Sus scrofa: one gene and its partner. The protein of the gene in region 2 purifies or fractionates together with the protein of the main gene of each other region. This does not show direct contact. Links are inferred from orthologs where the notes say so. Each region holds a gene or a part of one and is shown on either strand. Other genes may lie near its edges.

Region 1 (16,237 bases), on a different chromosome or scaffold from region 2:
AGACAAAAAGACAGACGAGATGACTGTGGCGCCCGAGAAGGCCTGTGAAAAAGCCGGCCCACTCTTGTCCTTCCAGGAGCTGGTTTCTTATGCAGAGAGTGTGCTCCAGAGGCTGGCGGCGGCCCCACAGCCCTGCCCCGAGGGAGACCCGCAGGCTTTGTCCCGGCCCAGGCCTCCCTCTCCTTCCTCCCGCAGCCTGGCCGGGCTGGGACACGTGGCAGCAGTGGGACACGGGGGTCCTCTCAGCCACTGAGCCTCCACGCGCTCCAGCTCAAGTAAAGCCTGTGTTCATGTCACGGAACGTCCTCCGGGGGTGCAGACTGTTGTCCCGCTCTCAGGTGGCCCAGGACAGCCCAGGGCGTCACGCGCTCCACCTGGTGCCACTGGCTGCTCCTGTTCTCGGACCCTCAGCCGTGGGCCAGGCAGGAAAAGCTACAGGCCGCCCACGGTCTGCGTGTCCTCCGGGGATAACTGCTGTCACCGTGCTGGGCCAGCCGTGTGCTCTGACCCGGGGTCTGAACTCGGCAGGGGTGTGTGGGGGTGGGGGGTGAGGTTTTTGCCCTCAGAAACCAAGTCCATGGGCTGCCCCAGGCCGGAGAGTTCTTCCCATCGCCCACGGCAACAAGGGACAGGGGCCTCAGCAGGAAGGCGCCCAAAGCCCCGATGAGAACTGGGTGCTTCCGGCTCGGGGACCAGGCAACCCCTGGGAACAGGCTCCCCCTCCGCCGGCGGGGGGAAGGTCTCAGGTCACAAAACCAGAGGGCAGATGTCCGCTCAGCAGCACGCGTGTCTCAGCCACCATGATTCCGAGATTTCTGACAGCGTCCCTGTCCTGGGGCGACTCGATCTGTCCCGTCACAGCTGCCGGGGGTGTAGGGCGGCCCAGGGCAGGGCTCCTGCTAGGTGCGGTGGCTGCGGGCATCCAGGGCGGGGGCCGAGGGGTGCCTGTCCCGGGCAAGGCTCTCCCACTCCCGCTTCACCGAGATGTAGAGTCGCATGGCCGCCTGCGCATCCTGAACCTAGAGAACACGGAGGTCGCTGTGACGGCCCCACTGGCGACAAACACGGCCAGGTGCCCGTCAAAATCCCAGCTACTGCGTCCTGGCACCGGACATGGGGCGAATGGAGCGGAGAACCCACGAGGGCAGCGGTCCAGTGAGGCGGCCCTCGCCCTAGGCGGAGGGACGGGGTGGGGGGGGGGGCTCGGAGCTTGAGGCTGGAGCCCACGCCTTCGATCCAGAGCAGGGGCCCTGGCTCCAAGTCGAATGTGCCAGCAGGTCTCGTCTGCTCCGTGTTAGTTAAAGGCGGCCGTTTAGCATCTAGGGCTGTGCAGGCCCGCTGAGCCGTGTCATTTTGCAGGGACCCGCGCAGCAGCTTCTCCCACAGCAGAAGTCGCCCCAGGCCCAGTGTTCGCCATCAGGTGACACCGCGCCCACCCGAGGACTGTCACCAGGACACACTTACAGAACAGTGCTCCGCCTGCTGCACCGGGAGCCCCAGGATCTTCTCGGCGAGCAGCTTCAGAGACGGCCGTCCACTCTGCAGGGGGCGAGAGAGCAGACACAGCCCCGCTGTGGTGTGGCCTCTGCAGCTGGAGCTCGGGGCAGGGGGGCACCCGCAGAGCCCCAACCCCAGGGACCTTCAGTGCGCCTTCCATGGATAAGTGCCCACAGCCCTGAAGGCAGCGGTCACCCGGTCAGCCCGCAGAGGAGCAGGGACGGACACCGCCCCTCTGCTGTCCAGCCTCGGGCTCCGGTGCTCATTCCAAAGGGGGACTCTGCCTCTGGAACAGAGACGACAGCGGCTTCTTACCCGCCGCCGGGGGCCCAATCAGCTATCAGAGAGCGGAACTCACCTGCCCTCGGAGACGCTAACCTGAAAGACGGCGTTTAGCCGGATGCTGTCTGTCTTTCTATCTGTCTGTCCTTTTTTAGGGCCGCACCCATGGCATATGGAGGTTCTCAGACTAGGGATTGCATTGGAGCCGCACCTGACGGCCTACCCCACAGCCACAGCAATGCCAGATCCTTAACCCACTGAGCGAGGCCAGGGATCGAACCCACGTCCTCATGGACACTAGTTGGGTTCATTATCACTGAGCCACAACGGGAACTCTAGCCAAACTCTCTCTTTTAAGGTTTCTTTCAGTTTTAAAGGTTAAAAGGAAAGACCAAGCCAAAACACCTGTAGCCGCCGAGCTGGCCTCCAGGACCAGACTGGCAGGTCAGGCCTGCGGCCACTCCTGGCAGAGCGGCTGATTCCAGTACCTTCACTTGGCTCCTGAAGGGCCTGTACTTCTGCGTGTCCCGGACCTTCTTCTTCGGGTGACCCAGAAACAGCACCTGGAGGCCGAAAACGTGACGGGCGTTTCACCGTTTGTCTACAGTGATCCCCCCCAACTCCAACACACACACACCCACCCAAACCCACACACACACACACCTAAAACCAAGTGCTGATTCCGGCCTGAGCTTCTGAGGGAAAATCCCTGGGAAGAACCAAGGGGATACAACCACAGCCTTGACACGGGGGAAGCCGGTGACTAAGCCGCCAAGGAGCCAGCAGCCAACTGGTTCCGCGTGGTTGGAGTTGTTGCACGTTCAGGAAGTCAGACATGAAAGGTCACCTGGTGACCTCAGGACAGGCCCCAGGAGAGGCTATTTATACAGGACGTGCTGGAGTCACCAGGGGCGGAGGGGGCGCGAGGAGGGAGCCTGAGCCACGGGGGCCTCCGAGGTGAGGCTGTCCTTGATGAATCGCATCTCAGCGGGCAGAGGACCGGCTAGGTTTTATCAGTTCGAAGTTTACTTTTAAAAGGCACTAAGACCAGTTTGCTGAGTCCCTGAAACATCGGTTTCCACAGACCACTGAGAAACCCTGGGCCCAGGGAGGCGTCTCCACTGCCCACAGCCGGGACCCTACAGAGCAAAGGCTGAGGCCACATTGTCTGGGGCACAGGAGGGGGACCCTCCCAGCTGGCCCATGGGCAGCAGATGCAGTGCCTGGCTGCCCTCATGGGTGGGCAGGGACTCAGATCCCAGCTCTGCCAGGCTGACACAGCAGGCAGGGCCACCCCGGTCACTGAGTTACGAGAAAGGCCGGCAGCGCCAAGAGCCTGTACCTTGAGGTCATTGTGCAGCGCGTGTCCCACCAGGATGCGGCCCTTCAGCAAGGCTGCCACCTCCTTCTGCACGATTTCAAATTCCTCTCCTGAAAAACAGACAAGTCGACCACTTCTGAGAGGGCGGCCCCTGCCCCTGGTTGGACCCAAGAGGCCAGCAGGGGGGTGATGCCAAGGCCGGGGGGCTGTCCCAGCCCCCCAAAGGTGGGGAGAAGTGGAGGGAGCATGCTCACTGCCCCCAGACAGACCAATGCTGAATCTACAATAATAAACCAGGGCTCAGAGTTCCCCTTGGGGCTCAGTGACTAATGAACCTGACCAGTATCCATGAGGATGGGGGCTCGATCCCTGGCCCCACTCAGTGGGTTAAGGATCTGGCGTTGCTATGTGCTGTGGTGTAGGTCGCAGGCACAGCTCAGATCTGGAGCGGCTGTGGTGGGGGCCGGCGGCTGAAGCTCCAGCTTGACCCCTAGCCTGACAACTTCCATATTTCCATATGCTGCCGGTGCGGCCATTAAAAAAAAGGAGGGAGGGAGGAACCCAGACTCATGCTTGGTGTCTTTTCAACTGGAAATGCAAACAAGGAGTGGGAGTCCCCTGCCGCAGATGTTGAGAAGCCTGGCTCCAGACCCTGGGCTCCGGGTGGCCCTGCCTGCTCTCTCGGAGCGGACCCCTCGGGGCCCCCAAAGGCAAGGGCTGCAGCACAGCACTCATGCCCAGTGGCTGCCCGCCCCTGATCAAGCAGGCCCGGCAGAGCCTGGATGGAGACATGGTCAGGGCTGGGCTGCCTGTGGGCCCAGTGCGGGGAGCAGAGCCAAGGACAGGGGGCCTTTAGCCTTGGCCTCCAGGGTCTCCTGGCCCCAAATCTCATGGCCTCCCAGGTGCTTCTTGGTCCCTGGGCCCAGCCTGTCCCCTGGCAAAGCCTGCGGACTTGGCCCCGTCCAGAGCCGGGCCATGCTCCTCGCCTTTTAGGGTCACCTCCGGCTCACACCTGCTCCCCTCTCCCAACCCCTACAACCTACTCCCGAGACCACCACCAGAAGGAACCTGCTAGAAGCCGGGCCAGACCGGCCTCATGGCTCACCACCTCCCAAGTCTTCGCACAGGCCCGAGGCCCTCCAGCCTGTTCCGCCTCCCCAGCCCCCTCCCCACCCCACCCCACCTCCTTCCTCTGTCCCCACGGCCAGGGGACTCAGAGCAGCTCGGGAACCCTGTCCTAAGGTCGAGGGGCCAAGAGACAGCGAGGCAGACGGGTGGGACGGGCACAGAGCCAGCAGAACCCGTGCGCCCGCGGGGGAGGCCCCATGGCCGGAGGGGGAGGGAAGCAGGCGGGGGCCCCCCCGCCTCGGAGACGGGCTGGGAACCCACCCTGCGCCAGGTTCTCGGGCCGGATCCCACTGACCGCCGTCCTGTAGTCGGTCACCGGCTGGGTCGGCTTCACGTACTTGTCATAAACACACTTCCCGAACTGGTTCACCAGAGACACGCGGGCCAGCATGCTCTCGTCCCCCTGGGGGCCCACGCCCACCATCTCACAGTCCAGGGCCAGGGCTCTCGTCAGGCTGCAGGGGAACCAAGGGTCCGGCTGAATCCAGGCCAAGGGACCCGGGTCTCAGCAGGGTGCCGAGAGGGGCTGCCCGGCCCAGCGGGGGAAGGGGAAGCAGCTCCTTCCTGAAGACCCCCGGCCCCACGTACCCGTCGAAGGCCCGCTCCTTGACCAGCGTGACACCGCTCTCGCTCTGGCCCAGCTGCTTCCGGGCCACCTGGGCCGCCTCGGGGCCGAGGGCCGCTTCGATGTCTGCAGGGTCCACGTCATCAAACCAGATGTCCGCTCTGGGGGGCGGGGAGAGCAGCCGGAACGAGAACTGTCAGGCCCCGGCCTGCGCTTCCTTTTCTTTGGTGGCCGCACCCGTGGCAGACGGAAGGTCCCGGGCCGGACCGAATCTGAGCAACGCCAGATCCTTTAACCCGCTGGGCCCCGGGGACCGAACTCGCACCACCACAGCGACAGCTGGCGAGCCCCCTGTGCCAGCAGGAACGCCACTGCGTCCTTTTTAAGTGACCAGGTACGGTCAAAACTCAGGACCGCAGGGCGACCCAAGGAACAGGACACAGGTGTAACGGCTGCGGACGTTTCTCTTATTTACAACGCGGGTAAACAGGGTGACTGGAGAAGGTCAACAGACCCCTCCCTGCCCGCCCCCGTCCGAGGACACTGCTTCCTGGGGGAGGTGTCTTTCTGGCTGAGCTTCAGCGGCACTTCCTGAGAGCCCCCCCCCGGGCATCCGCTCCCAGGTCTCCCTCGCTGGGTTTGTGCAGACCACACGCAGGGAGGTACAGACACGACCCAGGGCACCGCCTGACCCCTCGAGAGGGAGGGACTGGCACACTGACGTGTACACAGCAGGCAGCCAACCATTCTTTCCCGGAACCTAGAGCCGCACAGCCGGGCGGACTGACAGACACGCCATGCCCAGCCGAGCCCTCCCAGGGCCGCACTGCCCTCTGGCCCTGCCCCGAGTGCCCAGCCCAGGGCAGCACCTCACAGACCAGCAGCAATGACCACACAGCCTCAGGGAAGGTCAGGAGCCTGCCCGCCCCAAACCGCCCAGCTAGCAAGACGGGGGATCCGGTCCAAAGTGGGGGTCTCCCTGACTCCGGCGTTCCTACATCCCACAGTGGCTGCCGGGGGCCTGCGATGCTCCAAGCCCTGTTCTGGCCGTGGAGACACAGCAGGTCTGAAGCGGGCTTGGGCTTCTTTATGCCGACATCCCAGGGGAAAGGAACGACAGAGAACAGACAGTGCCAGGGCGAGGGGACGGAGGCGCCACCCGCCTCGGCCTCCTTAAGGAGAGGCCTGCAAATGGCAGAGTGGAAGGGCTGGGGCTCGCCTTGTCTCATGGAGACAACGAAACTACAACCAAGTGCTGAACAAGCCTCAACCAAAAAGACTGAGAACTGCTAAAAAAGATACCCTACTCCAGAAGACGAGGGGGGCCACATGGAGATGGTCGGAGGGGTGCCTACGCGACATGAGCAACCCTATACCTCCAGGGCGTGCAGCCCACAGACTGGGAAGTGACTGTATCGCAGAGGCTCCCCCGTGGCAGGGAGAGTTCTGAGCCCCACATCAGGTTCCCAGGCCTGGAGATCCGGCACTGGGAGAAGGAGCCCAGGGGCATTCGGCCTTGGGGGCCGGTGGGGCTTGTGCTCAGGAGCTCCGTGGGAGTGGGGGAAACGGAGCCCCCGCTCCTGAAAGGCGCACACAGGCTCTCATGGGCACCGGGTCCCAGGGCAAAGCAGAGGCTCCACAGGAATCTGGGTGAGATTGGCCTGCGTTTCTTGGGCGATCTCCTGGGGAAGCAGGAAAGCAGGGGTGACAGTGGCTCATTGTGGGGGAAGGACACTGGAGGCAAAGTTCTCTGGAATATTCGTTGCTGGCACGCGTTCCTCTGGAGGTGGCCATTTTGGGAAAGTCTGGCCCCACCCATCAGGGCTGAGAAGCCCCAGGCCAAACAACAATCCAGGTGGGATCACAGTCCCACCATCAGCAAACAGACTTCCTAAAGACCCCCAGGCACAGTCTCCTCCAATCTCACCCAGAGACAAAGCCCCACTCGCCAGAGGGCTAAGAATCAGCTCCACCCACCAGTGGGCAGGCACCGGTCCCTCCCATCAGGAAGCCTACAGCAAGCCCCCCCCTTCAGCCACAAGGGGGGCAGACGCCAGAAGTGAGAGAGGCTATAACTCTATGGTCTGCAGAAAGGAAACCACACCAAAAATCTATACAAAATGAAAAGGTAGAGAATAATGACTCAGATAAAAGAATAAGAAAGAACCCCAGAAAAACAGCTATGTGATCTAGAGGTTACCAACCTCCATGACAAAGACTTTAAACGAGTGATATTAAAGACGATTCAAGGTCTTGGGGATAAACTGGAGGCGGAGGCTGATAAGTTACAAGAAATATTGATGAGATGGAAGATGTACCCACTAAGCAAGCAGAGATGCGGAATACAGTAACTAAGATAAAATACTCGCTAGAAAGAACCAACGCAGAACACAGGAGGCAGAAGAACGAATAAGCGAGGTGGAGGACAGGCTGGGGGAAATCACTGACCCAGAGCAGAAAAGAGAAAGAAGACTGAAGAGAACTGAAGACGGTCTGGGAGACTCTGGGACAGCGTTAAGTGCACCAACATCCGTGTTACGGGGGTGCCAGAAAGAGCAGAGGGGGAAAGGGACAGAAAGAAGATTCGAAAAGAAACTAGCCGAAAACTTCCCTAACATGGGAAAGGAACCACTCCCTCAAGTCCAGGAAGCTATACAGGAAGTACCCTATAAAACAAACCCAAGGAGGAACACCCCGAGGCACATGTTAATCAAACTGACCAAAACGAAAGACAAAGAGAAAATGTTGAAAGCAGCCAGGGAAAAGAAACAGATGACACACAAAGGAACCCCGATAAGGTTATCAGCCCATCTTTCGGCAGAAACCCCGCAGGCCAGAAGGGAGTGGCACAGCATACTTAAAGTGATGAAAAAACCTCCAACCAAGATCACTCTGCCCAGCAAGGCTCTCGTTTCAGATGTGAAGGAAAAATCGCAAGCTTTACAGATAAGCCAAAGCTAAGAGAATTCAGCAGCACTAGACCAGTTGCATGACAAACGCGAAAGGAACCTCTCTAGGACAAAAGGCCACAACGAAAATCAAGAAAATGAGAAAATGAGAAATGAGGAGAAAGGCCTCGGCGGCTGCGACCGTGCTCAGGATGAGAGGCTGAGGCAGTCCCCACAGCCACACTGGCCCACGGGCACTTACTCGGTGGGCGCGGCTGGCGGTAAGGGGGCAGTCACCTCCTTAGCTTTCCGCTTCTTATGCTTGACGTCTCCTCGCTTTGGAGAAATGTCGCCACTGGTCCTTGTCTTGGCTTCCTTCTCCCTGTGCTGAGCCCGCCCGCCGGCCTGTGTGCGAGGGGCGGGCCTCTTCCTCTGCGTCGGAAGTCGCGGTGAGGGCGCAGCGCCTCCGCTGGCCTCGGGAGCTGTGTTTTCTGTCCCCACCTCGCTCCTCTCTGCTCTGTCTGGCACCGCTTTTCTGCTGGGCTGGGCCCTTTGGGGCTGCTTTCTGGAATTCAGCCGAGAGGGAACGAGAGACTCCTCCAGGGCCTGTGACTTTGGTTTCAGCAGCTGATGGAACCCAAAGAAAACACGGGACACATTTTAATTCAAATGTCACACACAAGAGATTGAAAAACTCGTATGTATGTGTGTAAAACCGACCTGTTTTCACATTCACAGTTACTTTAGAGTCAATTCCCTCACAGATCAGCCGACAAGCTGGGCCACTGAAGCCGCTTTCTTGATCAGACTTCCTGGTTTGCTACTGCTGTGAGGGTCTTGGGAAGGCAGGGTGTGCCCACAAGACACGGCTGTGCCCTCAGCATGGCCATTCTCAATACGGTTAAGGTCCTGCCACACAGCAACCAGCTGAGATGAGGGATGAGGCTGCTTTCTACTCACCCGTTTCTCTAATGTTTAAAGAAGAGAAATGTGGAGTTCCCGTTGTAGCACAGGGGGAACGAATCCAACTAGTAACCATGAGGACGCAGGTTCAATCCCTGGCCTTGCTCAGTAGGTTAAGGATCTGGCACTGCCATGAGCTATGGTGTAGGTGGCAGACGTGGTTCAGATCTGGTGTTGCTGTGGCTCTGCTGTAGGCCGGCAGCTACAGCTCTGATTCAACCCCTAGACTGGGAACCTCCATATGCTGCAGGTGTGGCCCTAAAAAGCAAAAAACAAAAAAATTAAAAAGAAGAGAAATTTACTTTCTTGTAATAAACGGAGAAAACGCAAGGTTTTTCCCACAAGAAACATCCTTCTGCCTGCTTAACTTTGCTTTACTTTCTTGAGAGAAAGACCTAAGACTACAGTTCAAGAAATCAGGGAAGCCAGGGGTTGCCAGATGGAATTTCATCATCCTGTGTGTCAAGACAGGAGAATTATTATCTGGACAGCTCTTCTCTGTTCTGACTCTGGGACTTTGAGGGTCAGTAGCAGCAAAGGGCAGAAACGCACATCTGACCCAGTGACTGCATCCCTCAGTCTGCCGTCCACTAGCTGTGACACTGGGCCAAGTTCTTAAACGCTGCCTCCACCCCCTTTCCTAGAAAACAGAGGTGATAACAGCAGCTACCTCCGAGGGAGGTGGAGAGAGTGCAGGAGGGAGGCACAGGGAGCAGCACTTAGCAGACAGAAACCTGGCCCTAACTTTGGGCCACTGATGCGGAGAAAGGCAGCAAGTACCACGTGACATTCAGAACAGGGACTTGGGCATCTGACTCCTGGCTCCACTGGCCCAGCTGCAGTCCTGGACAATTTACTTAACGTTTCTGGCTCTCTCATCTGTAAGATGGAGAGGAACGACCAAGGCCTCTACCTCACCGTGTCCCTGCGCCTGGTGAAATAAGAACACACGTGGATCACCCAGCAGCGACTGCACGTTTTAAGAGCTCAGCACCTGGAGGCAGCTGTCATCTATTAAAGACCCGGAGTGTTGCTAGAATCCTCCGGCCCAGGTTCCCGCTCTGCTCTCGCCCCGAGCTCGCCACCGCCTGTGAAAGACTCCGAGCACCGACACAGCGCTCCCTCCGGCCTGCCTCCGCAGCTCCCGGGGCCCCGCAAGCCCTTCTCCTTCTCTCCACTCGGGGAGGCCCTGCCCTTACCTCCCGCAGAACCTTCCAGTTTTGGGAAAAGTCCTCTGGTGCCTTTGGAGGCCGCACCGCGACCCCTCTGGGGTCGTTCCCCGGCTTCGTGCTCGCTTCTCGGGCTTTGTTCTTCCAGAACCTTTTCTTTCTGTTTTTCTTCCGACTCGGCTTCTTGACGAGCCCGGGCTCAGGCGCCGGGTCGCCCGGGGCGCGCTCGGGGGCCAGCATCCTCGCCTTCGCCATCGCGGCACCGACCCGGCCCCCGCGCCCATCCACGGCGGCGCCGCCGCGGCCCCGGAGCCGGGCTCTGCCCGCCGAGCACGGGCCCCGCCGCCCCTAACTCGCCGGCCCGGGGAAAAAACACCAGCGCTCCAGACCCCGGAAGCCGCCCCGCGCGCGTCTCCGCACGTGCGTCCCGGTCCCCGGAAGCGCTCGTCTCTCCGAGGCCGGCTGGAAACCCGGCCCTCGCCGCTGGTTCCGCGCGGCCGGGAGCGGGGCGGAGCTCTCGGTCCCCCAGAGGAAAACGGCCGCCAGCCCGGTCGGCGGCCCGGGATCAGGTTGGGGTAAGCGCGGGAACGCACCGAGAGCCCACGCGGGGCAGAGAAACGCGAGCGCCGGAAGGGACCGAGGGGGCCGCCGTCGTTGTAGCGCCGCTGCTGGGCCGGCGCAGCACTGGCGCAGGCGGCCGCCAGGGGGCGCTGGGCGGCCGGGCCTGGAGCGCCGGAGGCGGAGCCCAGACTCCCCCGGCTTTGCGACGGGAGACGGAGGCTCAGGGATGAAAGGGGGTCCCCAGGTCGCCCAGCCTGCTTTACCAAAGCCATAGGGCTGCCATTTCCCATAACAAAAACGAAGCATTGCATTTAGCGTTCTCTGTTATTTTAACTCACGAGCACACCTGCCTGGCCCTGACTGTACCTCGTAAATAACCTACATTAGACCTCTGCACCCCGAAGCTTCGGTTCCGGTCTCTGTATGTGCCTGGGAGCCTCTGGGGAAATACAGGTACTAAGTCAACAATCTTGGAGAGCAGTAACTACAATCAAGATGATAAAATGAGGTGCTGGGTTATGAGGCCCCCAAACAAGATGCAAGATGCCCAGAAAAACAGGAATTTCAGATAAAGTCTACTTTTTATAAATATGTTTCATATAATAGCTGCAGTATTGGGGGCATACTTAACACACACACACACACACACACAAAATCCGGAGAGTTCCTGTTGTGGCACAGAGGAAACGAATCCGCTAGTGTACCTGAGGATATGGGTTTGATCCCTGGCCTTGCTCTGTGGGATAAGGATCCAGCGCTGCCGTGAGCTGTGGTGTAGGTCACAGATGCAGCTCGAATCTCCTGTTGCTGTGGCTGTGGTGGAGGCTGGCAGCTGTAGCTCCAATTGGACCCATAGCCTGGGAACTTCCACATGCTGCAGGTGCGGCTCTAAAAAGGAAAAAAAAAAAAAATCCATTGTTTATCTGAAATTCAAATTTCACTACTGTCCTGATTTTTGTCTTCTAAATGTGGTACCTTCTCTCCCTGGAATGGGTGGGGCACTTAGATGGTGCCTAGAAGGAGGTGCCATTTGAGCTGAAACTCGATTGAGCAGACCAGCGGCCAGAGGGAACAGCAAAGCATTGGATGTATTTGAGGCATGAAAGGCAGGCTGGTGGGGCTACAGGTCTTTGGGCACAGGGGGGAGGGATGGGGAGGCAGGCAGAGGGCCGGACAGGGGCCAAACCTTGGATTATAGGGCCTCTGAGGCTCAGGATGGAGTTTGGACCTTTTCTTCTAAGGAGAAAGGGGAGCTATGGATTGTTTTGAAGAGGGGGAGTGATGAAATGGGATGGGGGGGTGGGAGAGAGGGAGAGCAGGCAGCCCTGTTGGGAGCCCATTCCAGTTGCCCAGGCCAGCGAGGAGCAGCCTGGATTGGGGCCACGTGTCGGTTTGGGTCTGTGGGAAGCGGTTCCAGGGATGGAGTTGGGAAGGCACGCCTTTAGTTGGGGTGGAATGCCTGCGGGAGGTAAAGGGCGGGGCAGGGAGTGCCTCACACCTACTGACCCTGAGGCTGCAAAGTGGGCCGGCCCAGGTGGATGGGCAGGTGCGTCTTCCCTGGTACCCAGCCTGAGGAGGGGGCTGAGGCAGGCAGGGACCAAGGCCGATTCTCACCCCCACCCCCACCCCCACCCCATTAGCCATCCACTAAGATGGGAGAGGCACCCCGAAGGTGGGAGAGAGTTGTATGAATCTTACAAGTGGAGCGGACCTCGGGTGGCCTGTGATGCTGAGCGCAGTGGATGCCCCCAGCCGGGTTCTGTGACTGGCACAGACCAGGCAATCGCGGAGCGGGAGGGAGTGAGGACAGGAGACTGGAGACACAGATCCTGGGGAGCAGGGTTCCCAGAGAGCAGGCGGGGCGGTGCCTCAGACTGAGCCAGGGTACTCCCACATGGGTGATGAATCCCCTCCCCCGCTCCGGGCTCCCAGGCGCAGGACTGCAGCTCTGAGCCAAGGCCAGGTTGCGGCAGGAGGAGCCTGCAGGCCGCCCAGCCCCGTGGCCCCTGCCCTGGGAGGAAGTGCCGCGAATAAACACTGCCTAACCGTCCAGCGCAGCGGGTCTGTCACACTCCTGCCGCCGACCAGATCTCAGCCGCCAGGCTCTCCCGCCCCCCGCCGGGCCAGCAGGCTTTCTGAGGATGAGGGTGAGAGACCTTCGCCTCCGGGGGCGATGCGTGCGAGGAATCCTCACGTCTCTCTTCCTCCTGGGCTGCTGGGGGCTCTCCCGTTTCCCGCAGGTGGGTGGATCCACGGATGCGGTGCCAGGCCCCTGGGAGAGGAGGGGGCTGCCCAACAACCCTTGGGTGGAAGGGGAGCAAAGCTGAACTTGGACTTCAGGGGACTGAGTGGGCTCACTGGACAGGGGGTTGGCCTAGCGCCGTCCCCTGGGCCGGCAAAGAGCAGACACCGTCTGTGGTCTACGCGGACAAAGACGCGAGTGGCCGGCCTGCCTTCGCATCCTGGGGCGCATCTCTCCCCACTCCCCTCTGCCCCCTCCTGGCCTTGTCCCTCTCCCACCTCCCCCTCTCCCTCACCTCCCCTGCTCATCTGCTCTGGCTTCCAGCTATTTCTTCAGGCTTTGGAGCCGGAGGAAGTGACTGCTTACCTTGGCCCTGCTGCCGCCTTGGAAGGTACCTGTCCTGGCATCGTCCTTGCAAAGGGAGTGTCTCAGCGCCTGGGGCATCTCACCACTGGGTCAGGGGGCTTGGCTCCTGGGTGGCTCTGTTGGGAGGAGGTCAGAGCCGTCGCTGGCGTCGTCGTTGCCCCGCTAATGAATTCCATTACTTCTTGCCAAGTCGATAAGACTTGGTCTGGGTGTTCTGGGCTGAGCTGGGGCTCTGACCCCGGGGTTCTGCTCAGTATCTCCAAGGAACAGTCACTAATTAGCTGGGCCTCCTTTGGGCTGACTGATTTTCAGGAACTCTTGCGGTTTCTGGCCGGGGCTGTAAATATTTATCTCTTCTGTGAGCGACGAGATGGGCGCTCGGGTCCAGCTCCAGCCAAAGCCTTTTCCTGTCACTCGTGGGCCATGTCTGTGGACTCTTCCGTGGCGCCAGCCCCCTTTCCCAGCAGGGCCATTGGTGAACTTGATCCAAAGGCTGGTGGGGACGGGAGCAGGGCGGGCTAGTGGTCAGGGTCGAGAAAATCGGGGATGTCCCACTGGTGGCTGGTTTCTTTGTGGTCCGTGTCAGATACACACTGACTGATGCCAGGGGCCGTAATGGGGCGGGCAGTGCTGGAGGCCGGTGGCTGATCGTGGGGTCTGGGGGCTGGGAACGTGTCTATCTCATCTTCCAGGTCCCCGAAGCGCTAGGAGACCACAGCCTGGGGTCCCCAAGGCTCTGGGGGCCACCTTGGGGTGAGGGGGAGGAGGGCGGGGTCGGCCCTGGGCGCCTGCTTTCCACTGAGGCTTGCACCTGCCTCACCTGTCGGGGTTCAAGCCGTTCCCCCGTGTAACAGGTGTTGCAAGGCGAGGCTGCTGTGCCGAGCTCTGGTCGGGTTCCCCAGCATCGAGCTGGGAGGAGGTGGACTTAAACCCAGACTCCGGGCTCTAGGCCAGGCCTCCTCCCCACCGATTCTCCCCAAAGGGGAACGTGTCTGCTTTGGGGGCAGGTAGACCTCCCGCCTCTGAGCGGCCCTGCACAGTTTGCAAGCTCATTCACAGTCCCGTGGCTTGAGCCTTGGCCCTAGGTCGGGGGTCACTGATGGTTCCCACGCTCTGGGTGGGAACCTGAAGCCCCAAAGATGAGAACTGCCTGCCACGGGCCTGCAGGATGGCTCCGGGGCTGGGCTGGATGGGGCTTTGGTGCGACCAGAAGGACATAAAGCCACGCAATAGCTCCCTCCTGGGCCTTGTGCTGCTCTGAAGCACCTAGTCAGCACTGGGACCCGGGCCGAGGGGTAGGATGAAATGTCCCCCCACCCCCCGCCCCGCCCAAGGTGGCTGTCCGGGCCATCAGTCATATCAGTCGCCCCATGGGTGACATGCCAGAGCTGGGGACCGCTCACTCTCTGAGAGCCTGGTTGTCCAAGGAGTCGAGAAGGCCACCCTGCATCCGTTCGTGGGTGTCTGAGGATCTGCGGGCACCGAGAGCCCAGCTCCAAGTGGGCCAGGGCGGAAGTGCCCCACCCGGCTCCCCTGTGTGTGGGGTGCGGGGCAGGGCAGGCCCCCTCAGGCTCCCCACCTCCCCTGTGACAAAGCTGGGGCTTGGGCCACTGTGATTCCAGGCTCAGGAGCCAAGGGTGATGGAGGGGCCTGGCCCCACCTCTGGCCTGCTTTCCAGGACCCTCGCCGTCAGCCTCGCCACCCACCTCGCCAGGCCGCCCTCCTGCCCGGCGCCTCTGGAGACGGGCTGCTGGGAGCGTCCTGCACCTGGAGCTGCTGGTGGCCGTGGGTCCCGATGTCCAGCAGGCTCACCAGGAGGACACGGAGCGCTACGTGCTCACCAACCTCAACATGGTCAGTGCTGGCATGGGGCACAGGCTCTGTGGGCGACGCTGACCCAGGAGAGGGCTTGGGACCCTGGTGGCACTGTGGCCGCCCTCAGGAGCCTGTGGACACAGTGCCCCATACCCAGGGCTCATGCAAAAAGAGTCAGTGGGCTGGCTTCTCTGGTGGATATGGACCTGAGCCTGGGGTCACACGTAGGGCTCAGGGCCTGGGGTGGGAGAGGTGTGGCCTGTTCTTATCTGCCCCCTACACACTGGGCAGTGCCCCCCACAGCCTCTTTCTGCTTTTGTCCCTTCACCCGGCCTCACCCCCCATCAATCTGTGGGCACCTCGGTTGGCCCTGCCCGGGTGCCCAGCAGGGCTGCACCCCGCTGGGCTTTCTCAGCGCCCGCATGTCTGCAGGCCTCCTCTGCACTTAGCTTTTAGGGGTAACAGTGGGGTAGGAAGCCCAGCTTCCATCATCTCAGAGACCAAGAGGCAGCCCAGAAACAGGTGACCGCAAGGCACCTGATGACCCCGTTTCCCTGATGGGCTGTGCCTGGCCACGCGCGTGTTCACACATGAAACACACAGACACACGTGTTCCAGGCCACCAGGTCAGTGTCCGCAAACATCAGGAGATTAATACGACCACTGGCGGCAGGCAGGGCCAGAGTTGCTCCCCTGGTACGCTGGCCTTGGAGGGCTGGGCAGCTGTCCTAGAATATGGGGTCCTTGTCCCCAGCCTCACGAATGCCCACCTCTTTGGGGTTTTTTGTTTTTGTTTTCGTCTCTTTAGGGCTGCACCCGAGGCATATGGAGGTTCCCAGGCTAGGGGTCTAATCAGAGCTGTAGCTGCCCGCCTAGGCCACAGCCACAGCAATGCCAGATCTGAGCCACGTCTGCGACCTACACCACAGCCACAGCAACGCAGGATCCTTAACCCACTGAGCGAGGCTGGGGATCGAACCTGCATCCTCATGGATCCTAGCCGGGTCTGTTACCCCTGAGTCAGGATGGGAACTCCCTGCCCACCCCTCTCGGATAAAAGGAAAATATCCCCCAAACACAGAGCCCCGGGCACTCTGACCCCTCTCCTTTCCCAGGTGTTCTCTGGGTCTCCCACCCCAAAGGGAGGCTGTGTCCCAGATGCTACACCCACGGGCTCCCAAACCCTGGGAAAGCTGGTTCAAGGCCAGGGTCAGCCTGCTTGGGTCTCCACCTGCACGCCCAGAAATGGCACATATTCAAAGTCATTTGAAAGCTGTGGTTTTCAAGCTTTGGGAGGCCCTCCCCCACCTCGAATGTGCTGGAATTTGGTAATCAAACCACACTTCCTCTGGTCATTCGACATGTTTTATGAGGACCAAGGGTGGCCAGGTGGTAGACTGTAGACGGGCGCCTGCCTACATGGTGCCAGGCATGGTCACG
Region 2 (16,137 bases):
CAGCCATGTATAATGTTAAGCGAGTGGACACCAGCCAGAAAGTGTCAGGGACCAAGGGAGGGACCACAGTGTCCTGGGTTGGGTGAGGTTCCCAGGGAGAAATTCCTGCTGGCACATGGGTGAAAGGGGACAGGTTGGTACAGACAAGACACAGCAAAAAGAACCCAGGTGGTGTGCCCAAGGGATTGTGACCAGCAGTTTGTTATTCTATCACTTGGTATCTGGGGGCCCTTTCACATACATCACCTCAGGAAATGACTCTCTTGTCCTTTGCAAGCCCAGCCAGGCCCTGGAACAGACGGCCTTCTGTTGCTGTGAGTTCAATAGAATTAAACGAACTCCTACTATGTGTAAATCACTGTTAAGTATTGCAGGGTATGTAGGAAAGTGTAAGATATAGTCCTCGCCCTCAAGGACAGAACGGATTTTCCTTCTGTCAAACGGCCAGTGAAGGAGATTCCAGGATGACTCTGCAGCAGTGAAGTGACATCTAATAAAAGGCAGCAGGTTCTGGCAGCGTGGACAAGCCTAAGGAAAACTGGATTTGCCATCCTTCAAGATGCTCCACTTGGGGGTGGTCCAAAAGGTGCCCTGCTGACTCTGTAGCTTCCTTTTCAGAACCGGTGCCCAGACTCAGTCTGCACCTTTACCTTCTTCCCACTGTATTACTTCACAAGCGCAGGACCTTGTCTGCAGCCAAACACCAGGTCAGAATCAAAAGCCAAAGTAATTGCAGAGGTATCTATAACTCATCCACGGCTGGATACTGAATAACACTCCAATCAATGAACAGTCTCAGACTCTGCAATTAATCCTGGAAAGGAAGAGCCATCGGGACAAGAACAAAAGAACCAAAATAAAACAATGCATGCTGGTAAGTTCTAAACTGGTCAACCTTGAGCAAAGGAGGCCTGGAAATTTTTGCTCTGGTGGAGAGAAACAAAGCAACCTCATCCTGGCCCTTTAAGCACCACTTAGGACTGGGAGTGGGAGAAAGCACAGTTGAGCATCATCTGAGACAAACTGAAGTACAAACTTATCTTGGGATCCTCAGTCATGATGTGGCTACTGCCATGATGGAGCAGTTGGAGTTTCAGGAACTTTCCAAGTTGTGAAGGCAGAGTTGCTTCTTACACGACAGAACTGGCAGATGCCTGTCAGTCAATTCTCAAAAAGTAAGTGGCGGGAATAAGAAGCAAAGAACTAGCAATGATTATGTGGGTCAGCCGGAGGGCCTATGACTGAAGATTCTGGGTGTCAGCCCTGTTGGCGGCATATCTGACCTTCTGTTTCCTCAGATGACTGAAGGTCAAATACATGGTGAGAAGGGGATCTCTGGAGCCTTGAAGTTCTGCACACTGAATTTTTAATTGGAAAACCTCTTTTCAAGGCAAAAACATAGCAAAGGACGTTTGGAAGTATTTCGAAGAATTAATTCACATGGCCTAACTTTGTAACAGAGAAAGAAGCTGCAGGTCTCACTTCAAGTCAGCTGATGAAGCACAATCCTTGCCGCAGGCTAAGGCTGGAGGAAGGGACGGTTCACCTTGGATCCAAGCAGTCCTCAAAACTACCAGGTGCAGGGCGCCCCCCGCCCCAATCTCTGGGCCAGGCTGCTGTGTAAGCGAGCAGGAAAATCTACTGAAACTTGACAGTGTTGACTGATGGCCTTCAGTCCTGGATGTTAACCAAATGTTTGTTATCATTGCTTTTTAACCAAGCAGTCTGTAACTCCATCTTCATGTTTAATTCAGAGAACTCTATTTCATAAAACATCAGGCTCTGGAGTTCCCCAATGGCTCAGTGGGTTAAGAATCAGGTGTCAATGCAGTGGCATGGGTGCAATCCCTGGCCCTGGGAACTTCCAAATTCCACATACAGCCAAAAAAAAAAAAAAAAAAATCAGGCTCCAAAGTGAGGAAGTGAGCACAATTCATGTTGCATTAATATTCCCAGCAAGCCTAAGAAGCTGCCCAGATAACCCGTGGTGAGGTGTCCCAAAGGACACCCTACAAGGAACCTGGTTGTTGAGAAAAGTGGATGATTTGGCTAATTTTTTAGAGAACTGTGCAATAACTTTTTGAGCAGTTAAATGATGTTTTAAACACAGTGGGTTGCTAAAGTTGTCAGAAGAAATATCTGGATCTAAGAAAATCTGGCAAAGCTGTCTGAATAAACACCAATTTTTATCTATCCCAAATGTTAAGATAATTTTCCAATGTTAATTTATAGATATTTGTGCTCGAGAGGAAAAAGTGTCTGGTGAGCAGACAGCTGGCAAAGGGAAAACACATTCAGCTGCCAGGCAGGCTGTGGATATTCTAAGTGCCCCCTTAATAAAGTGCTGACTCCCCCACAGAGACAGGCCACCCTAGCATTGATGGGCTGCTAAGCTGCTGCCAGAATGTTTCAAACTCCCTAAGTCACACCGTCTCAAGGCAACTGTAGAGACAGAGCCCCTGACCTTTAGTTCTCTCCAAAAAATTCCAATTATTTTCCTGGTCTCTCTTTTCTCCATCTTTTAACCAACTAAGGGCGTTCTGAGCGTTCACTGGTTTCCTAAGACTCTGCAATGAAATAGCTACATCCGTAGGTCAGCAATGGTTCTGAAGAAAGCATCACTTATTACAGCATCAGAGACTAGGGAATTAAGAACTTTGTGCTGTATTTCCAGCTCTTTTTCTGGCCGCACACTCACTGCTCTCTCCACCACCCACTCCCTGAGTCTGCAGGAGGAGGCGTCGCAAGAGGCAACGCAGGTGCTCACCAGCCAGGCTACTGTCTGGGGGCTGCTGCCAACTGACTGCTGGTTAATGACCCATAATCACCCACTCCTCTGGCAAACAACGCCAGGCGGTGCTCCGGCCAGGCCCCATGCCCTCCATGACCTTCCAAGTCCCACCCTCAGAGATTAGCTGGGAAATCATCTTTCTCTGCTCTTTCTTAATCAATCCCTGCAGTATGTAGGACTACATGACTGAATTAAGAGTTAGGAAGGTCAAACACATTTATAAATAATAAAGGATTCACATGTTAGAAATGAGTCTGTTACTCGAAAAGCCATAAAATATCTCATTTAAATAAGATCCTTAACAAAATATACATCTTAAAAATTCAGCACTAAAGAATGCTTTTTATAACTGTTACCATTTGAGAAACAAAGAATTAAAATGCGTAAGAATTATAGACACACCTTCGCACGAAACATGCAAGAAGCATCATGATGTCTTTCTGATATTCCTCTTCTTGGTTAACTAACCGCACACCAGGGAGAGACGCAAGTTCAGATGCGCACGGCCCAGAGGGGCCCCCAACAAAGTGGCAGGGCACTCAGTGGTTTCTTTCCCGCAATAAACGACATGGGGGGAGGGGGGCTTCACCAAGAAGCACACAATCCAGCTCCTTATCCAGTCCGTTGGCATTATCAACTGTCGAACCATTTGCTCCTCTTTGCAAGAGGAGCTCCTTTAGAAGGTCCCAATAACTTCTGCTTATATTGTTCGACCAGCTGGTTGAAGCGAATTTCTGTCTTATTTCCCTGAGCTTTTTTCCTAGGCACCTACAAATGAAAGGTAAGGAAATATAAGATACTAAACATAAACATAAGTTTCAAGCATTAAAATCACCTTACCCTCAGGCCACCTGAGGGAAAAAAATGAATGGGCTCAAAGACCTTGTCCACCAAAAGAGGGTCTTCCAGAGAGTGACCCCAAAAGAATCATCCATTGGTAAGAAATCGGACGAGGTATTCCTAAGAGAAAAGGCCCCACTAAAACACTGTTCGGGTGTGTCAGAGGCCTCTCCTAGTCCAGCTCCCAAATGCTCAACGTGAATCTCCTCGCCGCTGAGTCAGGCCAGGGTCTGCATGGTCTCGCCAGCCCGCTCCCTCACCAAGAACACTGCTTACGGGGTTCCAGAGAAAGCTCTCTATGACATAGGATGGGCTCCATAAGATAATATGACGAACGAGAGACTTCTCAGAGACTCAGATTTCTGGAGTAAAAATGAGAAACTAACACTTCTTATACCCTTAAAAGAAAGGGACTAGGGGAGGGAAAAAGAAAGTTTGACGTTAAATGATCAAGAATACAGAACCACTATTTTCTACTAAAAGAACCAGGACTCCTTGGAAGCTAATACCAGGACTGGCAGAGAAGCAGCTAAGATGGCTGGGATATCTGGCTGTACTGGAAAGCAAGGATGCTACCAAAGACGGGGTCATGTCAGAAGGACTCAGAAGTCAACCTGAATGGGCTTCTGCTGGCCTCAGATGGGACAAGAATAATGACTGCATCTGACTGTATATTAAAACTCAAAAATCACAAGATGAAAAAAAAAAATATTACTGGTCATCAGAGAGGTTGGTAGGGCACCAACCCATTACCCTGGAAACTGATTTTAAAAGAGAAAAAATCAAGCATTTATCCTGCTTATCCTATACAATGGTATTTCATGGTAACCAAACAGCTGACAAAAAGATTCTTTTTTTCTAGAATTCTACTTAAAAAAAAAAAGCAAAAACGGGAGCTCCCCTTGTGGCTCAGCAGAAACAAATTTGACTAGTACCTATGAGGATGCAGGGCCAATCCCTGGCCTCGCTCAGTGGGTTAAGGATCTGGCGTTGCCATGAGCTGTGGTGTAGGTCACAGATGTGGCTCGGATCCCGAGTTGCTGTGGCTGTGGTATAGGCCAACGACTACAGCTCCTATTCAACCCCTAGCCCAGGAACTTCCATGTGGCACAGGTGTGGCCCCAAAAAGAAGAAAAAAAAAAAAAAAAAGCAAAAGCATTGATGAAATTAGAGGATTACCACTCTGCAGCTGACACTGAGATACGGATCTAGGTAACTATCATCAATGGGACCACAGGTCCCCTAGGACCACAGGTGGGAGGTTGATGGAAGGCTTCACAAATGGAGGGAGAAGGCAGACAATCCCTAAGCCTACTGAGGAGTCAGAGCATCACGAAAAATGGGGCAACCGGACACTTGTGCATCTTATGGTGTGATGCAACTGAAAGTACACAGCACTGCCTATGAAATACTCCTGTCAAGCAAACAACTTGAATCTAATCAAGCCTCTAGATCTAAGGACCAGTTTGTAGGTAATACAGACTATGAGACGAACAAATTAAATGATAGCACAAGGAAGAAAGAAGCTAAATTCAAAATGTAATATATTCTCGGGAGTTCCTGTTGTGGCACAGCACAAATGAATCCAACTAGGAACCATGAAGTTGCCAGTTTGATCCCTGGCCTCGCTCAGTGAGTTAAGAATCCGGCGTTGCCATGAGCTGTGGTGTAGGTCGCAGACGCGGCTCGGATCTGATGTGGCTGTGGCTGTGGTATAGGCCGGCAGCTGTAGCTCCGATTTGACCCCTAGCCTGGGAACTTCCATATGCCTCGGGTGCAACCATAAAAAGCAAAAAAAAAAAAAAAAAAAAAAAAAAGTAATATATTCTAAAAGACTAAGGGCCTGGCTTCAACAACAAATTAATAGCATAGATAAAGGTAGGTGGTAAGGAAGACTGGATACTATAGGGGAAAAAAACCCAAGACCTAAAAGATTTAAACACCAAATACAGGAGTTCCTAGCAGTTAAGGATTCAGTGTTGTCACTGCTGTGGCTTGGGTGATTCCTGGCCTGGGAACTTCCACATGTTGTGGGCGTGCCCTTCCCCTCACCAAACCCCCCCCCAATATAATGTCGACTTTGTTTGGAACCTGATTCATACTAACTAAAAAAAAGTATTAAATATATTTTGAGGCAACTGGGGATATTCTAATACAGGTTGCTTATTAGATATTAAGGGCTTCTTCTTAATTTCATTAGCTGTGATGATGACATAATGTATGTTTGTGTGTATGTGTGTTTAAGGCCTGATTGGCTGCAGAGGCACTCTGAGATACTTTTCTGAGCAATATTCCTCATTTCCACATGAGGCACATTTACAAGTGAGGTAGAATCTGCTACAATATACTCAGGGGGGAGAGGGGATTGCTAAGTAAAACAAGATACTTTTGAACTAGAGTAACTAATACATGGGGTTCATCTTAATGCCATTCTCACTTTTAGGACTGTGCATCTCTATATCCTTTAAAAAGATGCAACCCTGTACATAACTGCAATTTAGAAGCCCTTTCCTTTTGCTCAACAGATTAAGGCACAAAAGTGGCTACATCCCTGGTAGAACTGTGCCATACATACCAAACCTCGGGCCCTACAGAACTCACCTGCTTGGAAGATAATTTCTGCTTCTCTTGCTTCCAATGGTTTATCTGGGGCTTTGGCTTCTTGGGAGGGAGAGACTTCATCTTGCCTTTGTCCCGCAACCTGCAACAATACGGTCAAGGGTCACCCTGAGTTCTTCCTCTAAGTGGTACCCCTGAGGTTTTCTCAGCCCAGAAAATAAAATGCCTTTTCTTACACTGGCTTTTTCTAAGCCCATGAAAAGTCATGCTAAAAAGGGATACTGCAACAGAACATCCTAGGACTCAATATCTGTATACCTATTTTTTTCATTCTGGCTTAAAACCTCAAAAACCTTCATTTACTTTTAACACTTATTTTGTAAAGACCGACTTTTGTGGATAGCCACTAAGCTGTTGTCCCAAAGAGAAACTACAAGGGAACCTCAGGTAAGTGGGCCTCAGCTACCAGAGGCGGCCGGCCATCTGGACGGGAGGAAGCTCTTCAGAAGAGAAGAAAAATGGCACAAAAGCCCACGCTGGAAGGTTCCTCTGAGGCGCCCTCTGCCAGCCCTGTTCTGGCCTCCATTTGGTCCAAGAGTGAGCTCTCTGCTGATGTGGAGATACTTATGCATCAACGCTACACATGGGACTGGCACACACGAAACATCCCTTTCATCCAAACAAAAGCCACAAAGAGGAAAAAAGGCAAAGCAAAAGCAAACCCCTCAGAAGCTGTCCTGCATCTCACCTGATTTTGGGGCCTCGGTGAGAGGGGAGCGCCAGGACCTTTCTTCTCTTCTTTCCATCAGACAGCTCCACGTGCTCCACTTCGGCCTTGGTCTGGAACCCTGTCCACGAGACGGAGCCCACCTTCCCCTTCTGCTCCACGGGGGCCTTGCTTTGCTCCTGCATGTGGTTCTGAGCTGCTTTCTGTTGCTGTTTTTTCCCCATCTCTGGTGGCTCCTGCTGGGGCTCACCAGTTGCAGACTTGGATTTCACTTTTTGCTGCATAAACAAGAGAATGCCATTTTGGTTTCTGGATGAGGTTTATGTGTTGGAAATACTCAGCAGAAGAGGAGTGAGTTTGGTGAAAGAAGGAAAATTCTTCCCCTAAATAGTCAGAGATTTTAGGAAAGAGAATGCAAGTAGTTCACAGGCCCTGAAATAGTAACACAGTTTCTGGGTGGGGACCCAAAAGCACCACTTCCCTTTCTACACGCAGAAATAGAGGGAAAGCCAAAACTCAAAAGCCAGCAGAAAACAAAGGCCAGTAGCACGGGATAATTATAAAGAAAGGTATAACAAATGTGTAAGGGAAATGAGAAGAAAGAAAAGGAGTTGCCATTGTGGCACAGTGAAAACGAATCTGACTAGTGGTCATGAGATTGCAGGTTCAATCCCTGGCCTTGCTAAGTGGGTTAAGGATCCGGCATTGCTGTGAGCTGTAGTTTAGGTCACAGACGCAGCCTGGATCCTGCATTGCAGTGGCTCTGGCATAGGTCGGCAGTTGCAGCTCCAGTTCCACCCCTCACCTGGGAACCTCCACATGCCGTGAGTGAGGCCCTAAAAAGCAAAAAAAAAGAAAGAAAGAAAGAAAGAAAAGAAGAAATATTTGAGGTAGTGAGAGCCGAGGATTTACAAACGTAAGGACAGACACTAAACCTCAGATCCAGGAAGCTCAGCCAACTACCAAACAGGATTAATACTAAAAAATCTACACCTTGGCATAATATATCAAACAGCAGAAAACTGAATAGAAAATCTTGAAAGAAGCCAGAGGCAAGGAAAATACCTTACCTACAGAGGAACAAAGTTAAGATTACATTGGATTTCTCTTCAGAAACCAAGTAAGCAAGAGGAGAACAGAGTCAAATATTTAATGTTTGGGTGGAAAAAAATCACCAACCTAGAATTCTGTATCCATGAGAGAATTCTGTACCCACCAACCTAGAATTTTGATCTATGAACTCATCAAAACTGAAGGATTAGTAGACTCTCTCAGAGAAGCAAAAATTAAAGAAATTTATCACGGGTAGACCTTAAGAAATAATACATGAATTTACTGAGAGAGGTAACATGACAGATGTTAGAAACTCAAATCTACATAAAGAAGATTAAATGAAATAAGGAGTTCCCATTGTGGCTCAGTGGTAACAGACCTGACTAGCATCCATGAGGATGCAGGTTTGATCCCTGGCCTCGCTGAGTGGGTTAAGGATCTGGCATTGCTGTGAGTTGTGGTGTAGGTCACAGACATGGCTCAGATCTGGCATTGCTGTGGATGAAGCGTAAGCCAGCAGCTGCAGCTCGATTTAACCCCTAACCTGGGAACTTCCATATTCCATTAGTACAACCCTAAAAAGACCAAAAAAAAAAACCAAAAAGTTAAATGAAATAAAGACAAAGAAAAGATGACCTGAGATGGAAAGCAAAAACTACATAACAGATTTAGGTGGCATTGGTGGGAGAAGAAAAATAAGATTCATGTGAAATAAATGTAGTAATTGTATTATTCTGTCTGTACCCTGATACAACAAAGATTATATGCCTATGATGTGCCAGTCTCTGTTTCTAAGCAGTCAGGGCACAGATGGATAGACCGAAGTGTCCATCTTTTAGGACTCACAGCCTAGTGGAGCTAAGACATAAAGTAAAAAACTAAAGACGATTTCAAGGAAGTTCATGAAAGTGCAAGTAAAAAAGTCTTTTGAGAGAGGTGGGAAAATGGTACTTGAGGAAGTGCAGTTGATTGATCTGAATATGGAAACCGAGAAGCAGCATCCCTGAGTCAGGGAAAAGGGACACTTTTACACAGAAAGATCAGCATGTGCCTAAGTGTAGGCAACAAATAACGCTACCTGAATTGCAGTAAATAATTCTATACCTGCAATAACAAAGCTGCCCTGAATAATCACCAGAGCCCAGGTAACCCAGGACCGTTCTATTAACCACTGCTCCTATAGGTCATGCTCATGGTATATACCTGAAGGACACCAAAACACAGCAAATGTTTGGTATATTTACAAGCTAAGGCATAACATCAATGAGATCTGTAAGAGTTATGGTATCAAGTATAACCTGGCCTTCCATGTCCTGGGGCAAGATGGGTAAGAGAATGAGTACTGACTCTGTATGGACCATGTGGTGTGTGAGACAACTTACACTACTACCCCATTCAATCCCCATCAGCCACGTAACACAGATGATGTCAATCCTGTTTTACAAACTAGAAACCGAAGCTGAGAGAGGTAATAAGTAATAACTTGCCAAGGAACTCAGAAAGCGGCAGAGCCTGAGTCTGAACGTGAGTATTCCTGGCCCCAAAGTCCCTGTTCTTTCCTCTATACTCTACTAGATTACAAACAGTGCTGAAACTATCAGGCATCACACTTTGGAGCCATCCAAGAAGCAAAAAGAAGTATGGACGAGATAGCTGAACTCTATAGAACAAGTAGCACTTAATTCTGGCTATTACTTTTGACACATACATCATGAAACCCTACAGTACAAGCACTGCTCATTGGTAATAACATCAGGCTGGGTCTCCCCTCTCCTCCCTCCTCCTCCTGTGGAGCTATCACAAGCCAGGCCAGCAGAGGAGAGACAGCCGGCAGAGTTCTAGGAGACTAAGGGTAAAGGGTAACAAGGAACCTAACAAGGCAGAGACCTACACCAAGGGAGCAGAAACACAAACTGAACTGAACAAAACAAAGTCTAAACATGGCATCAAAGAAACTGTTCTAACTACACACTTAAAAAATAATAATAAGGTTTATGGGACATGCATGTTATTTACTACAATTTTAAAAAGCCCCCCACCCCAAAAAATTTCCCTTTTGTACCAGGCTGCGCTGCATCCTCATTTCCTTTATTTTAAGTTTCCTTCGATCTTCCAAAGAGAACTCCACTATTGGTCTCTGGCAGAAGGAGAAAGCAAGCCATTCATTAGATTTCTTAATCCGCGCATGCAATGAGCTGAGATGTCCCCCCCACCGCTCCCCGCCTTCTTGCAAGGCAGAGGTTGTTGCTACTTCACTCCCCTTAGAAGCCAAGGGGCCAGTTCTGCAGGCAGCCGATCCCATTCAGGGTTCCTCCTGATCATCCTACCACCTGAACGGCTGCTCACTCCCTCCCTTGCCACTCTCACCCACCACGCCAATGTGAGAGGGCTTTCTGCAAATGTCTCCCCACAGGAGGAGACTCACCTTCTGAGGCCCAAAGATTTCTGGATTGTTGTTGATGTGGCGCAGGGCGGCCAGGGCATGCTCGTGCTCCTGGAACTCTGCAAAGGCGTAGCCCAAGGACTGACCCTTAACTTTCCCATGAGCTCCTTTGAGGTCTCTCATCACCCGACACTACGAGTAGAGCAGAATAAGAAAAAAATCAGTAATTACAGGATGAAGATGCTTAACAGCTTCAGTAAGAAGTTAGGTTATGGGAAAAAAACAAAAACAAAAAACCAAAGACAAAAAACCAAAAAGTCAGGTTATTGGAACAGTCTCCATTTAGATCGTCACCACCAGAACTGTACTGGTGGAACACTTAGGAATGCCTGTCTTTATTAGAAGACACCTACTGAGAGAAGCAAACAAATGAGGTATTTTCCTGTTTTTTGAGAGTTTATAGACATCAACACACACCCACGAATAAGCATGTAAGCAAAATAAACCTTCCAAGGAAAAATTACAAAAGCTAACTGTTGAGATGACAATACATACTAGGTAAGAGGTACGTGGTACTCGAGGTTGTATAAGTTAGCACTGAGGCGGAAGCGCTGTCTACAGATCTCATCACGGAAGAAAGCACTCAGAAAGGAAATTAGTGAAGAAGGAAAGGATGAAGACCTCGTGGTTTTAAATCAGAAAGACAATTCAGGGAGTTCCTGCTATGGAATAGCAGGTTAAGGATCCAGTGTTATCACTGCAGCAGTTCAGATCACTGCTGCAGTGCGGGTTCAGTCCCTGGCCTGGGAACTTCCACATGCCGCAGGTGCAGCAGAAAGGAAGGAAGGAAGGAAGAAAAAGACAGACAGACAGATCAGGCATGGGGACGATGCTGCCCAACATACAGCCTCAGGAAGAAGCTTTAGCTGCCTTTGCTCAAAGCTCAGCTCCTCTCTGATGTGACTTCCCCCGAAATCCTTAAGCTGTGAGAGGCATCCTGGAGCACCCAGGAACAGTAGGATATTTGGGAAAAACAGATCGTTTACATGTTTTTATTCCTGGAAGCTAAAGTTGTCAGATAAAGTAGATATTGGAGACGCTTGGATGCTGCATTTGGTCCATGCCCATGTCTTCTCTGTGCCTAGAACTGTGCCATATGCTCTAGGCACATCAAGAAAAGCATAAAATGAGGCCCTTATCCTCAAGAGGCTTACTGTCTTACTGAGATATTATACTTCCACATTTGAAAGGATGAAAGAGAAAATTCAACATAATGCAAATAATGTAAAACACATGTACATTTCTTTAAAAGATGACACATTTTAAATGGGCAGACCCTAAGTACTGTGGGTGTTGATGAGAGATTACACAACTGACCCCTCTGCCAGTAACATTTTGAACAGTTTTATTGAAAGTGGTATCAGCCGTGTGCTGATATTGTTCAGTCTCTCCTGTAATTCCCTAAACACCAGTACCATACGTTCTAAGAGACTTTCCAGGAGTAGGAAAACAGCTTATGCTGACGAATCAGAGCAAAGCAGATTCATAATACATATATATATATGTGTGTGTGAGACTGGGTCACTTTGCTGTACAGCAGAAAACTGACAGAACATTATAAACCAACTGTAATAGAAAACAATAAAAATCATTATAAAATTAAAAAAGAGAGAGAGAAAACTATGTCTCAATTACTATGCCAGGAACTGAGAACAATGAGCTAACACCTGCTCTCAAAGAGCTCGGTCTGGCTGGGAGCAAAGACTGACAGATAATTATAGGACAGTGTGGCAGTAGATGCTATGACAGAGGTATGCACACAGTGCTATGGGCACAGAGCAGAGGTTTCTGTACTCACTCAGAGCCTAACCAAGTCTTAGTGTAAGGAAGTTCCTATCATGGCTCAATGGTTAATGAACCTGAATAGAATCCATGAGGACGTGGGATCGATCCCTGGCCTCGCTCAGTGGGTTAAGGATCTGGCATAGCTGTGGCGTAGATCGCAGATGCAGCTTGGATCCCACGTTGCTGTGGCTGTGACATAGGCGGGCAGCGACAGTTCTGATTCGACCCCTAGCCTGGGAACCTCCGTATGTGGTGGATGTGGCCCTAAAAAGACAAAAGAACAACAACAACAACAAAGTCTTAGTGTGAAACCAGAGTTTGTCCAACACAACTACTGAAGACCCAGGTGGCTCCCTGTGCTCACTGCAGGGCATTGAACCCTCTTACTACTGGGGAAGAGTCTAAATGGTAGAGATATGCTCTTCTAAAGAGCAAAGCACAGGAGTTCCCGTCGTGGCACAGTGGAAATGAATCCGACTAGTGGCCATGAGGTTGTGGGTTCGATCCCTGGCCTTGCTCAGTGGGTTAAGGATCTGGCGTTGCTGTGAGCTGTGGTGTAGGTTGTGTGGCTTTGGAAAGCAAAGAGAAAAAAAAAAAAAAAAAAAGCAAAGCACACAGATTATTTTCTCTGCAAGAAAATTAACATTACAGTACCTGGTATGCTAAGAACACAGCAGGTACCCAAAAAATGCTTGCTAAATTAATTCACGACGGCAGAGACTCCCCCACATTCTGCTACAATTTTATCAGCTGTGAAAGGTAGTTCTTAAAATACGGAAATACATTTTTTTTTTTAAGTCAAAACACCATGAACAGAGTTTCCTGGTGGCTCGGTGGGTTAAGGATCTAGCATTGTCACTGCTATGGGTCAAATAACTGCTGTGGCATGGGTTTGGTTCCTGGCCAGGGAACTTCTGCATGCCATGGGTGTGGCCAAAAGAAAAATAAAAAAGAAAACTGGGAGTTCCCGTCGTGGCGCAGTGGTTAACGAATCCGACTAGGAACCATGAGGTTGCGGGTTCGATCCCTGCCCTTGCTCAGTGGGTTAACGATCCGGCGTTGCCGTGAGCTGTGGTGTAGGTTGCAGACGCGGCTCGGATCCCGCGTTGCTGTGGCTCTGGCGTAGGCCGGTGGCTACAGCTCCGATTCAACCCCTAGCCTGGGAACCTCCATATGCCGCGGGAGTGGCCCAAGAAATAGCAACAATAACAACAACAACAACAAAGACAAAAAAAAAAAAGAAAAGAAAACTGGCGAACTCAGCTTGTCTGCTGACAATGTGTCCAAAAGAAAATCTGTTGATCTGCTAGCAGCATAGCCTGAACTACACTTGCTCTGACCCAGGATGAGAACGGAAGTTCCGAGGCATAGTAATTGAGACATAGTTTTCTCTCTTTTTAAAAAATTTTATAATGATTTTTATAAAATTTAACAAAATTTTATAATGATTTTTAAAAAATTTCTCACCTCCTTGATGCGCACTCCCTTCTCCCCTCTTGTGGAACTCAGCAGCAGCTTTCTGAGCTGCTTGTCATCCACGGCCTTTGGGAGATTATGCAGGCACAGCCTGGTCCGGGAGACAAAGATATTCTGGTCCTTGAGTTTCTGATGCTTCAGCAGCTCAAACTGAAAGAACAATCAATTGTTAAATACATTACAATCCAATCCCTTTACAAATAAAAGCTCATAATTCCAACAGCAAAGAATCATAACCTATCCAATAACATATAGGAGAAAGGAGGGAAATCAACCCCTCTGCTGCTTTCTGATGCCCAGTACAGGGAAAGAAAGGTTCATGGAGCCAAGACGGTGGGCAAGTGATTAGATAGACCATGGGCTCTGGAGTCAGACTGAATTAGAAATTCAACCCTAACTGGAGAAGTCACATGAAACCATTTAAGCCTCAATAACTTCACCCGCAGAGCAGAACTATAGATCAAAATATAGTATCAATCTCTGAGTGAGGCCAAAATGAGGTAATATGCACAAAATCCCAATTTCAAACTTGGCCCAGAGCAAATAACAAAAAATATTGTGGTTAACATCTATGTCAAGCCCTTACCTACCCACCAACTCTTAACTAATTGTTTAGTCCTTCCAAAAGAAAATGGAATTTATTTAAATACTTGAAAGAATGTTGCCTTGTCTCAACTCTGCCACCTTTAGGCAAAAAAAGTCAATGGCCATAGCAACAAATTCTGCTTGTTAGAGGCTCAACTATGCTACACAAAGCACAAGTCCCAGGCAATCTGTCTCTAAAGTGAAAGGATGACTTTCTTCTCCTGACTTGTTTGTTAAAATTAGATCAGTAGAGAAAAGTTTTAAATTTTTTCTCTTATCAAGTCTTATTCCTGCTGCTTCATGTTTGGTGAAGGTCCTAAAAAAATCACAAAAATAAACACTCTGGAAACAAGTATTTTACGGGACTTTTTTTTTTTTTTAAAGGCCGAGCCCACAGCGTACAGAAGTTCCTGGGCCGGGGACTGAATCTGAGCCACAGCTCAACGTACGCCACAGCTGTGGCAATGCCGGATCCTTTAACCCACTGAGCTGGGCCAGGGACTGAACCTATGCCGATGCAACCACTCAAGTTGCTGCGGTCAGATTCTTAACGTGCTTCGCCACGGCAGGAACGCTCTTAAAGGGCTAAATGAAGAGGCTATCACCCCTAAACTCAACAGCGTGACTTTTCTCTCAGGAAAGGCTGTGCCTACTGGGATTTAAAAGGTATACAGTGAGTTTTTTGCTAGAAAAATCCATTTTAAGGGAAAATTAAATGTGTCACCATCACATTGTGGTCAGAAAAGGGGATACAATGCCCCCCAAAATCATATTCCCAGATGCTCACTCCAAAAAAATTCAAGAACACTATCTAGAAACTACCCAGTAAAGACATGCTGCCCTTGCTGTCACTATAGTCTCATCTCTGTCCACCGTCTTCTGCACTTTCAGGTTATATAGCTAATCCTGTCAATGACTATGAATCTTTACCACTCTAGACTGGCTTAGCTTTTTAAATATAAGCTATAAAGGCAAAAGTAAAAATTCCTGGAATAGACATTACCAAGCAGCAAAGGATCTCAATAGTATCAGTTATCAGTGGAAATGCCACAATATAGTTTTCCTAAAATGATTTTATAATCTGGAGATACCACACTGCCCCCCCCAAAAAAATCAGGCATCTTCACTCTCTCAAGACCCGTATCTACACAGAATTAGCTCATTTCCTAACTCTAGCCCATTCTGATATTCTTTATATTATTCTGCATTTATATTGATACCTAATTACATACAGCTCAAGTTTCCCATGATCTAGAAGCAGACTATTTAGCAAACATTTACTACTGAGTGTAAGGAAAATAATCACATGTAATGCTGCCATATTATGTACAATGCTAGGCTACTTGCTGTTTTAGCTGGGTGCTTAATCTCTTTTTTCTTTTTTTGTCTTTTTGAGGACTGCACCTGTGGCATATGGAGGTTCCCAGGCTAGGGGTCTAACTGGAGCTGTAGCCGATGGTCTACGCCAGAGCCACAGCAACGCAGGATCTGAGCCACCTCTGTGACCTACACCACAGCTCACGGCAACCGGATCCTTAACCCACTGAGCAAGGGCAGGGATCGAACCCGCAACCTCATGGTTCCTAGTCGGATTCATTCCTGCTGCGCCACGACGGGAACTGCTGGGTGCTTATTTTCTAACAATAGTGTAGGGAGCACCTCTGACCGATACCTGGCTCTTTGATGAGCACTTCCTACATTCAGTTATTCTCATTGATTGATTTATATGAAGTCACGCAGAACCTAAAGGCTGGTGCCTAATCTACTCACTCGTTCTCTTTTGGCCATATCAGCAGCACTCACACCCTCTGCAGCCTTCGTCCCAGCACGAATCACTGCAGAAAGAGGGAAAAAGGCCAAGACATCAGCAAGGGACTT

What was found.
Region 1: the proteins of RBM28 (region 2) and REXO4 purify together in Homo sapiens (affinity purification with mass spectrometry; 3 studies listed by BioGRID and IntAct, with this or other methods). This does not show direct contact. The link is inferred for Sus scrofa from reciprocal best matches to the Homo sapiens genes RBM28 and REXO4.

Annotation. Positions count from the first base shown.
Region 1 is NC_010443.5:273,011,712-273,027,948, forward strand, and holds REXO4 (RNA exonuclease 4), read right to left. Parts: upstream 10,243-16,237; 5' UTR 10,069-10,242; coding exon 9,844-10,068; intron 8,309-9,843; coding exon 7,944-8,308; intron 4,955-7,943; coding exon 4,817-4,954; intron 4,684-4,816; coding exon 4,490-4,683; intron 3,211-4,489; coding exon 3,122-3,210; intron 2,489-3,121; coding exon of another isoform or gene 2,381-2,488; exon of another isoform or gene 2,355-2,380; intron 2,343-2,354; coding exon 2,268-2,342; intron 1,540-2,267; coding exon 1,465-1,539; intron 1,020-1,464; coding exon 900-1,019; 3' UTR 254-899; coding exon of another isoform or gene 77-253; 3' UTR 25-76; downstream 1-24. Other genes in the region: serine/threonine kinase-like domain-containing protein STKLD1, read left to right, coding at 77-253; ADAMTS13 (A disintegrin and metalloproteinase with thrombospondin motifs 13), read left to right, coding at 12,516-12,614, 12,941-13,007, 14,661-14,836.
Region 2 is NC_010460.4:20,056,054-20,072,190, reverse strand, and holds the end of RBM28 (RNA-binding protein 28), read right to left. Parts: intron 16,095-16,137; coding exon 16,030-16,094; intron 13,825-16,029; coding exon 13,666-13,824; intron 10,546-13,665; coding exon 10,396-10,545; intron 10,108-10,395; coding exon 10,033-10,107; intron 7,196-10,032; coding exon 6,939-7,195; intron 6,333-6,938; coding exon 6,233-6,332; intron 3,560-6,232; coding exon 3,425-3,559; 3' UTR 3,032-3,424; downstream 1-3,031. UniProt on the Homo sapiens protein: Nucleolar component of the spliceosomal ribonucleoprotein complexes.